2 linked regions of the Danio rerio genome follow. The protein of the gene in region 1 purifies or fractionates together with the protein of each later gene. This does not show direct contact. Links are inferred from orthologs where the notes say so. Each region holds a gene or a part of one and is shown in the gene's direction. Other genes may lie near its edges.

Region 1 (4,139 bases):
TTAATTATGTACATTAAGTATTTTTCCAGCAATTGGGATGTCTTAAACTTTAGTATTACTCTGTATAGAAGTGAGGGAATCATAAAATTATTTAGATCAATGAAGAATAGTTTACACTTTAATACAGTCAGCATACATTTTGTTTTGCGGATGTGATACTTTCCAAATAAAATAAGATTTTTTTTGTTATTTTGTCCATTTCCCAGAGTTGCAGTCCATAAATAAAACCATTTTATCAGTTATATTGATAAATTTACAATACACTTCAAAAAGTAGTGAGAAAACTTGGGACCAAAGCCGTTTTGTGTAACTGCAACTGAAAAATTAATGAAGAATTGTTTCCAGTTCCATTTTACAAAAACAACACAAAGGTGAAAAACCTTCCTTAAACCTACTAATAAAACCATTGCATGGATAATATCTATGTAATATTTTACAAATAGTTTATTTTACTTTATTGGGAAGTATGTATTTTGTAAAATCTGACCAGAGTTTTGGGGGAAAAGAATGAAGGGAATGCTTGTTTCCATTTAACCATTGCTATTAGAGGAACACTTTTATCTGCAGTCAGGATTTTCCTGATATAATTGTTATTCAGTTTTTTATCCATGATAGAGAGGCCCTTAATAGTAAGCTCTGGAAGAGAGCCAGATACATGGTTATATATTTTTGTGGTTTTAATAAGGTACATTTATTTTAGGGAGATACAATGAACACATTTTTTTTTGTATTTATTCAAAGTATTTTTTTAAACCAAAAGTGTTAATAAATTCACTGTAATTATATAAGTCCCCTACACGATTTCTCAAAACAACATTAGCACTATTAACATCAACACTGTTGGACTACTTTGATAGTCATTGGCTGCGAATATGATTTAACTATTCAGAATTAGCAAACAATACTTTTCTCAAATGATTTTGTTAATATAATTATTATTATAAATCTCTAAATTTGCACTTGTGCCTATATCAAAATCTCACTTCAAACAAAGTACAGCTAAACCTATAGAGAAAAACCTGTTCTGTAGTAAATTGTGACAAAGCCTCGGTCTTCTCCATAAAGTCTTTGCTCAGGTTAATCTATTAATGGAATATGGGTTGTATAATATTTTTAAAAACGTTAAGCATTTTAAAAAGTACATCAGTGTATTCAAATCTTGCTAAATTGGCTTGGAAATGTTTCTGTCAATTCCATTCCTGCGTAAGAGCGCCGCTCGCCCGTGCGCTGCGGCGTGGGGTTTCCCAGGGCAGACTGCAGGGTTACCGCGCCCATCTCCGTCTGATGGCCGGATGAGAGGTGAACTGAACTGGAGAGAAGTGTTCCTTCAAGGAAGGCAACGGGAAGTGGCCACCGACGGACTTATTAGCTGACCAAAGTCTCCAATCGGACATTTATGAGTGCAGCTTTTCCTCGCAGTTGAGATCCCCCCTCGTACAGGCTCATTTCCCGCCCGCCGGAGCGAGTTTTGTCGCTGTGGAAGTGGACTCGGTACTTCTCCCGCTGCTAGTTAGCGAGCTAGCTCGTCTTGTTCGTTGATGCGTGGATTTGACAGCCACACCATCGTTTTTTTCGGTCAATGCCATATAAACAAAGGCCATTTACGACTGAGAACAGGTATGGAACACTATGTGCTTATTTCAAGTGTGTGGAACTGAATGTTTCGTTCTAATCGGGTGAATTTGTTGGATAAAATGCTGGTCACCATAGAGAATGAAGGGGGGTGGGGTGAGGCGCAGGTAGCGGCTAGCCGAGCGATTTACATACACAACAGTGGCAGGCAAATATGCGAAAAACGGTTGTTTTAAACAGTTATCATCGTGTGTGTTTTATTAATGTGAATTTATAGTGCATTTAATCTCTCGCTCGGTCATTATGGCGTGAACTGAGTCGGCCGACTTAACCGGAGGCCGTTTAGTGCGAGTTCGCTTGTTAGCACCCAAAAATCGGCGTTACTTCAGAATTAAACCAATTTAGGTTTGGGGGAATTCAGTAATGTGCTTGATAGGGGCATTTTAATAGCAATTAAGATTGCTTTAAATGTTAAGTTTGGGGGGTTTTGGTTGGAGGCTGGTCTGTAAGCTAACAGGCTAATTACCGGAGCTTCTGCTGGCAAAATATTCGGCTTTTCAGCTCAGCTAGGCCTTCCTCTGTGTTACAGAATCGAGGATTTTTGGTTAGGCAAATGCTGGTTTACACACTCTCGTGTACTACAAGTGAATATTGATCGAAATGCAGTCGGTAAATAAAGATTAGCCATTTATTTGTTCACCCGATCGTCTATTGCAATCTACACCATCTGGCTGTATATTACAAGCCGTCCTAGTGTGTTTTCCCCTACACACATTTACATGGAGATGGATTTATTACGAGTCAGAATGGCGTAATCCGAAATCCCGTGTGCATTTAAGCGACTTAGCTCGTGTTAATGTTTATTGCGTTAAGTGTGCGCTGCTTCTTTTAACTACTCTTTTAAACAACCTAATTGGATTTCATTAAGCCTGTGTTTAAAGGGCCTTTGCTGTTCAGGTATATAGGTGCACTGCCTCTCTTCGCGACATCTCGGTGATGCTCCGCTACGATTCTCGCTGAATTGCTTTTGCTGACGATAAAGAATAAAAGACCTGCTAGATGTGTTTTCTCCTGCGATCGTGTATCAGAGTAATGCAGCAAAGAGCTTTGCAGTTCTTCAGATACGCGAAATGAATGGAGCCGGATGGCCTTTATCATCGCTGCTGGAATATTTTAAGAACGGGCTAGCGGCTCAGTATTGAGGTCACTATTAAGGGATTGGTCGGGGAAATATAGGCTATGGGATAAATATGTTGCGCCCCCTCCTTCTTTTTTCCCCTACCGATCGAGTTTGCCTTTCTCTTCGCTGGCATTTAGATAAAGGAACACCGTTCATGAATAAATAAACGGAATCAATGAATTCTTCAATGTGGGGCCCAAGAACAAGATGGCGTCCGTAGCCTCTCTCTCCGGCTTCCCTCTCCGCACTCATATCAGCATGCCGTTCATTTAACCCGCTGAAACGCCGAAAAAAGCACCGTTTTGCTCTTAAACGAAGCTCGTTGTTTTAAAAACGATTCCAGGAACATATTTTGAAGCTAGAGTTTATCGTTTTTTTTTAAATAAAATGCTCTTTGTGTGGCACCTAAAGCTGCATAACCTCATCCTTTATGACGCGAAATGCAATTGTGAAATATCAAATAGTGTTTCGAGTCCACCGTGACGTGATCGTTCACATTTTGTTGATTTCAACTTGTGCTTCTGGTGCTATAAATGTAGACATTTCTTTGCAGTCATGCACATAAGCTCTCACAATACCCTTTTGTGTTTAGATAATGCACTTTTGTTTGATTTTATTTTAAAACAAAAGCATAATGGATGATTCATTGCATACATTGTTGTTTTTAACTCCCTCCCAGACATCCTGCTTTTTATGCACCTAAGTTGGTTCTTTGCTTATCATGTTTATTATAGTCATTGTTCATGTTTTACTCGGCAGTGTTACATTTGCTGAAGCATTACTTGTAATCCATTTGCATTATACATTGTGCAATCTGCATTGATACACATGCAGTTTTGTAATTGTGGATAACTAAAAGCATCAGATTGATTCGCAGTGGGCACCTCAGAAGCTGATATGTGTATAATTATGATGGAATAATTGAAATCTATTCAGATAATGTAATTCTGAATATCTATTTTGATTTTCAAACTAACGCCCATTTGTTTTCGCAGGTGTTTTAATGCAAGCATGTTGAGATTTGAGCATTTCCATGTAAATGTCAGCCTTGTCATGAAAAAACTAAGCTTCAACCAAAATAACGAAACTGTTTCTACATTTTTGGTGTTGGCAAATACTTTGCAGTGCTTACACTACTCAAAAATCTCTCTGTCAATGTTTTCAAACTATTATATTTGATTTAGCAAAGTCACACAAGTGGCAATTTCACATCTGCCACATCCATAACTTTCATCTCATAAATGCAAAAATCTAAGGTAAAATAAGTCATGTTTGCTCTGTAGAGGAACAACTCTTATCCTTTTAATTAGCATTGTTTCTTTTGGGTTGCTTTGTTTAATTCATAGAATTTCTATAAAGTATGTTGTATACTGCAAACTTGCAGACT
Region 2 (4,273 bases), about 14 Mb from region 1:
TAAAAAAAATCCAGTCCACGATTACTTTTTGTATTGAAAATACGTCATTTTGTGTGTTTTTCCACCAATCAGTGACAGATTTATGAATTTGGTAATTAGGAATTTAAACTGTAATTTCCTAAACAGTTTAGTAGTTTTGATCGGGACTGAGGTTGATTAACAGATTTATGGGAAAACATATTTATCTGATGCATTTTTACAGCAGTTTAAATTAGTGGAGGTTTTCATCCCAAACATAACAAAAGGGTAGCAAAATTGCCCAGAGTGTATCGTTAAGTTCTTTAAAAATGTCAAAGCATTTTCCAAAAACGTGTCAAAATTAAATTTGTCGCCAAAGTCGTTCTGCTAGTTGAAACAGAAAAAGTTGACCAAATGAAGACACAAAATCACCCCAGAGTGGATGAAAACACCCTCAACAGCACACAGGGGTTAACTGAAATGAGGGATGTGCTAGTAAAGGAGTACACATGGAGGAAAAACATGAATTGGTCATCTGTCACTGCAGACTGATGGATAAACCGACAGGCAACAAGGACTGTAAACACTGAAATCGGTGTTCCCATAAGTCTTCAAAATGTCAGGGACAGCGTTTTCAGAGACGTACAAATATCTGACGTACCTGATCTGATGTGATTCTTATGTGCTGAACGGCCAGGTTTAATGGTGAATCTGAAAAAATGAAATATTAATTTAAACAAGTGTTACGGACTTCCTGTCATGAGTTAGTGTTTCAGATGAGATTTTCTGCTTTTGTAAAATACACACTACTCCTGTTGGAGAAAACTCAGGACAATACCAAACACATAAAGGCAAACACACACATACACACACAAACATTAATGAATGCCCATGAGCTTTATAAGGATTTGAGCTGTGTACATTTTCTTCACTTTTTAACTGGTGTGTATTTTTAGTGTTCAATGTCTACTGAAATACAAACCTATTCTAATACTTAACAATGAGGCTTAAAATAGTTGAAATTTGTGCACCACATGCATTGACAATGAATAGTTTGTTAATTGATTAATAAGGATTTACTCATGTTTACATACTAATCAAATACATTCCCTACTGAAAAATCAGTTGACCAGCCTGGTTTTAGAGGGGTTTTGGCCATTTCCAGGCTAGTTTCCAGCCATTTCCAGCCTGGTCTTAGCTGGTCAGGCTGGAAAATGACCAGCCAAATCCAACTAAAACCAGCTTGCCCAGCCTGGTTTAAGCTGGATATAGCTGGTTTTGGCTGGACTCCCAGCTTGGCTAGGCTGGTCAAGCTGGTTTTAGCTGGTCATCTCCCTTTTTTTTTAAGGTAATGTTAATACATGCTGTATAAATGCACTGTTAGTTTATTTAGTCGACGTTTTATTTGTTAAAGTATAACAAATGACTGTAGTGTGTAATGGAAAAAAATCAATGGTAAAAGTCCTTTTAGTTGCGTCCGCTTGACCCGGAAGTTTTCCTCACCCTCTTTTATTGTCAACATGGCGGTGAATCTCACTGAATTGTCTCTTCCACAATTAGAAGGCTTGAAAACTCAGCTTGATCAGGTAAATTGTGTTAAAAATAAAAAACATCATCGTTTCGTATGTCCGAGTAGCATCAGGTGCTGCTGTTTTTCTGTCAGTGAATTAATTTACTGACGGGCTGCGGTTGTCATGCTGTCTGTGCGCGTGCTGCTGCTGCTGGTAATGCGGAAAAAAAGCCCTCTATGATTGTCCACATGGCTGCATTTATTCCGTATGACAGAAAATGAGATGCAGAATGACTTTATCGACGTTCACTTGCATTGTATGTGAATGGTGTCTCAGTCAGTTCTCACTAAACACAACTTGGTTTTATTTTAACGAGTTCACAGTTTGAAATATATTTTGGTACCAAGTCTATAATCTGTATAAGATTAATTTAAAAGACTAATTTTGTTTTTCTGTGAGTAAACTTTTGAAGTTTACATGTGTCCTGATTATCTGTTTTATTTTGACCGTCATATTTATTTTACTGTATTTTACAGAAGACCCCAACAAAAATGTCATAACAATAGTTTATATATATTAAAAATTCTGGGCAGCCATATTTTTAGACCAAGATTATTTTGATGGCATTTAACTATTTAAAGGTTGAACTGTAGCTCCCAAATTCTAATTATTTTTCTTTTTTTAAACATGCATAATTTGTCACTATCCTTCAAACCCTTTATTTTACTAATTTTTACTTTTAAGGTTTAAAACCTTGACTATTCCAAACCTTGCCGGTTTACCTTGCAAACAGTTATCGCCCCATACCTAGTACAGAATAAGTACTATGTTTTTCCCATTTTTAAATAAATATATATGTTGCTCTGAATTACCCTGACATTATTTCCTAAATTATTATTATTGTTAATTATTTGATAGATTTTCACTCATTTTTTGATTTTATTTTTACAAAAGTTATTTGAAACATTTAAGTTAACACTTTGCTTGCGTTCAGTGTGCTTTCTGTGAATATAAATGCAATAATGTTAATTTACTTTGAGACACCAAAAAGGGACATCTCAAGGTAGATTTACACGTTATTTTGTATAAATTGCTTAAAAATGTGTTTTCTAGGAAACAGAGTTCCTGTCATCGTCTATAGCTCAGCTGAAAGTCGTCCAAACAAAATATGTGGAGGCCAAAGACAGTTTGAATGTGCTTAACAAGAGCAATGAAGGTGACTTTTAAAACTCTTTTATGACGTTTTTAGCTAAATCTGACGTTTGCTAATTTTTTTTTACTTTTTCTCTCAGGTAAAGAACTACTCGTCCCTCTCACCAGTTCTGTATCCTCTAAACAGCTGAGTTATAAATGAGTTCTGATTGATTTATGCCACATAAGAAAGTCACACAGACAGTTTGATGTGTGTGTAATTAATTTGCAGTGGTCCGTTATTCCCTTAACCTCAGTCATGTAGATGTATGTACCTGGAAAGCTGCATGATGTGGATCATGTGTTAGTGGATGTGGGAACAGGTTATTTTGTGGAGAAGGTGAGTAAGAATCAGTCTAGTAGTTTTAGTATATGTAAAAATGTCAAAACTGAGTAAATCACATTGCCTTTTCTGTCTTTTCAGAATGTAGAGGACGGCAAAGAGTTCTTTAAACGCAAAATCGACTTCCTTACTAAACAAATTGAAAAGATTCAGCCTGCTCTTCAAGAAAAATATGCCATGAAACAAGGTGATTTTCTTGTCTTTTGAAAAACATGTTTCTTATGTTCACCATAGCTGATAAAAATACAGTACATTTTTATTGTATTTCTTTTTTCACTATTTTCAAGTAAGCCTGTCACAATAATCAATATAACGACTGAGCGTACAACACATGGACATGACCTCAATCATTTTTGGTGATGCAATATAAATCACACATACATAAAGACCAATTCTGGCAATATTTTAGGTGTTTGTGCAACATCTCTATCTATTGGAGATGTCAGTATGGTTAAAAATCACAATTTTATTTACTATAGATTACTGTCGTATATTTTCATGTGGGTGTCTAACAACTGAAAATAGATCTGGGGTCCGTTCTTCGTACCTCGCTTAAATGATATAAGATGATTTGGCAGATCCTGGATCTTTTCATCTTGATAACTGATCTCTGGCTAATTTGGTTCTTCAAACAAGTTTGCGAATCCGATTAGAATGTCTGGATAAACTGATCTGAGATCGCTGCATGTGTTGTGAAGGACAGATCCATCGATCCTCGAAATCATGATCAGCAATGCAACGATTGGCTGACGGCACAGCAGCGTAATGACATCATCTGAATAATATTCAATTATCCATGTGAGCAAAATTACATCAAACAAGCAGTAAACGGTTTGTTGTGAGCTGCAGGCTTAACACTTTCATGTGTCAAGAGTATTCATTATGTATTTTAAAGCATATCAATGTATTTAGTTCTACATTTAGAGAAGATTTTCTTTATTATAGTAGCTTAGGCCTACTCAAGTTTTTTTTAATTGGAGTAAGGAATAACTGTATGAATTAATTTTCCATCAAAAAAGCATTTTGATAAAGGTGAAGGTGTCTGCAACTTTTGTGAAGCAACATATCACCGGCATATTGGCGATCACAACATGTGCATGACTGCATAAATCAGTATCCTTTTTTTAAAAAAGTTGAATATTGTGCATTTGCATTGTATTTAAAAAGTTCATATCAATACATTTTCTCTTTGAACCACCAGGTGGCAGTCTTTGTACTTATTTCGGAGTGCAGATTGCATAAGTTTTATTTATCTATATATTTCTTAAAT

The links. The genes of interacting proteins can lie anywhere in the genome.
Region 2: the proteins of gnb1b (region 1) and pfdn5 purify together in Homo sapiens (co-immunoprecipitation; 3 studies listed by BioGRID and IntAct, with this or other methods). This does not show direct contact. The link is inferred for Danio rerio from reciprocal best matches to the Homo sapiens genes GNB1 and PFDN5.

Annotation. Positions count from the first base shown.
Region 1 is NC_133181.1:56,065,048-56,069,186, reverse strand, and holds the start of gnb1b (guanine nucleotide binding protein (G protein), beta polypeptide 1b), read left to right. Parts: upstream 1-1,338; 5' UTR 1,339-1,617; intron 1,618-4,139. UniProt on the Homo sapiens protein: Guanine nucleotide-binding proteins (G proteins) are involved as a modulator or transducer in various transmembrane signaling systems.
Region 2 is NC_133181.1:42,215,186-42,219,458, reverse strand, and holds the start of pfdn5 (prefoldin subunit 5), read left to right. Parts: upstream 1-1,472; 5' UTR 1,473-1,478; coding exon 1,479-1,544; intron 1,545-2,582; coding exon 2,583-2,685; intron 2,686-2,761; coding exon 2,762-2,793; intron 2,794-2,925; coding exon 2,926-3,000; intron 3,001-3,084; coding exon 3,085-3,190; intron 3,191-4,273. UniProt on the Homo sapiens protein: Binds specifically to cytosolic chaperonin (c-CPN) and transfers target proteins to it. Binds to nascent polypeptide chain and promotes folding in an environment in which there are many competing pathways for nonnative proteins.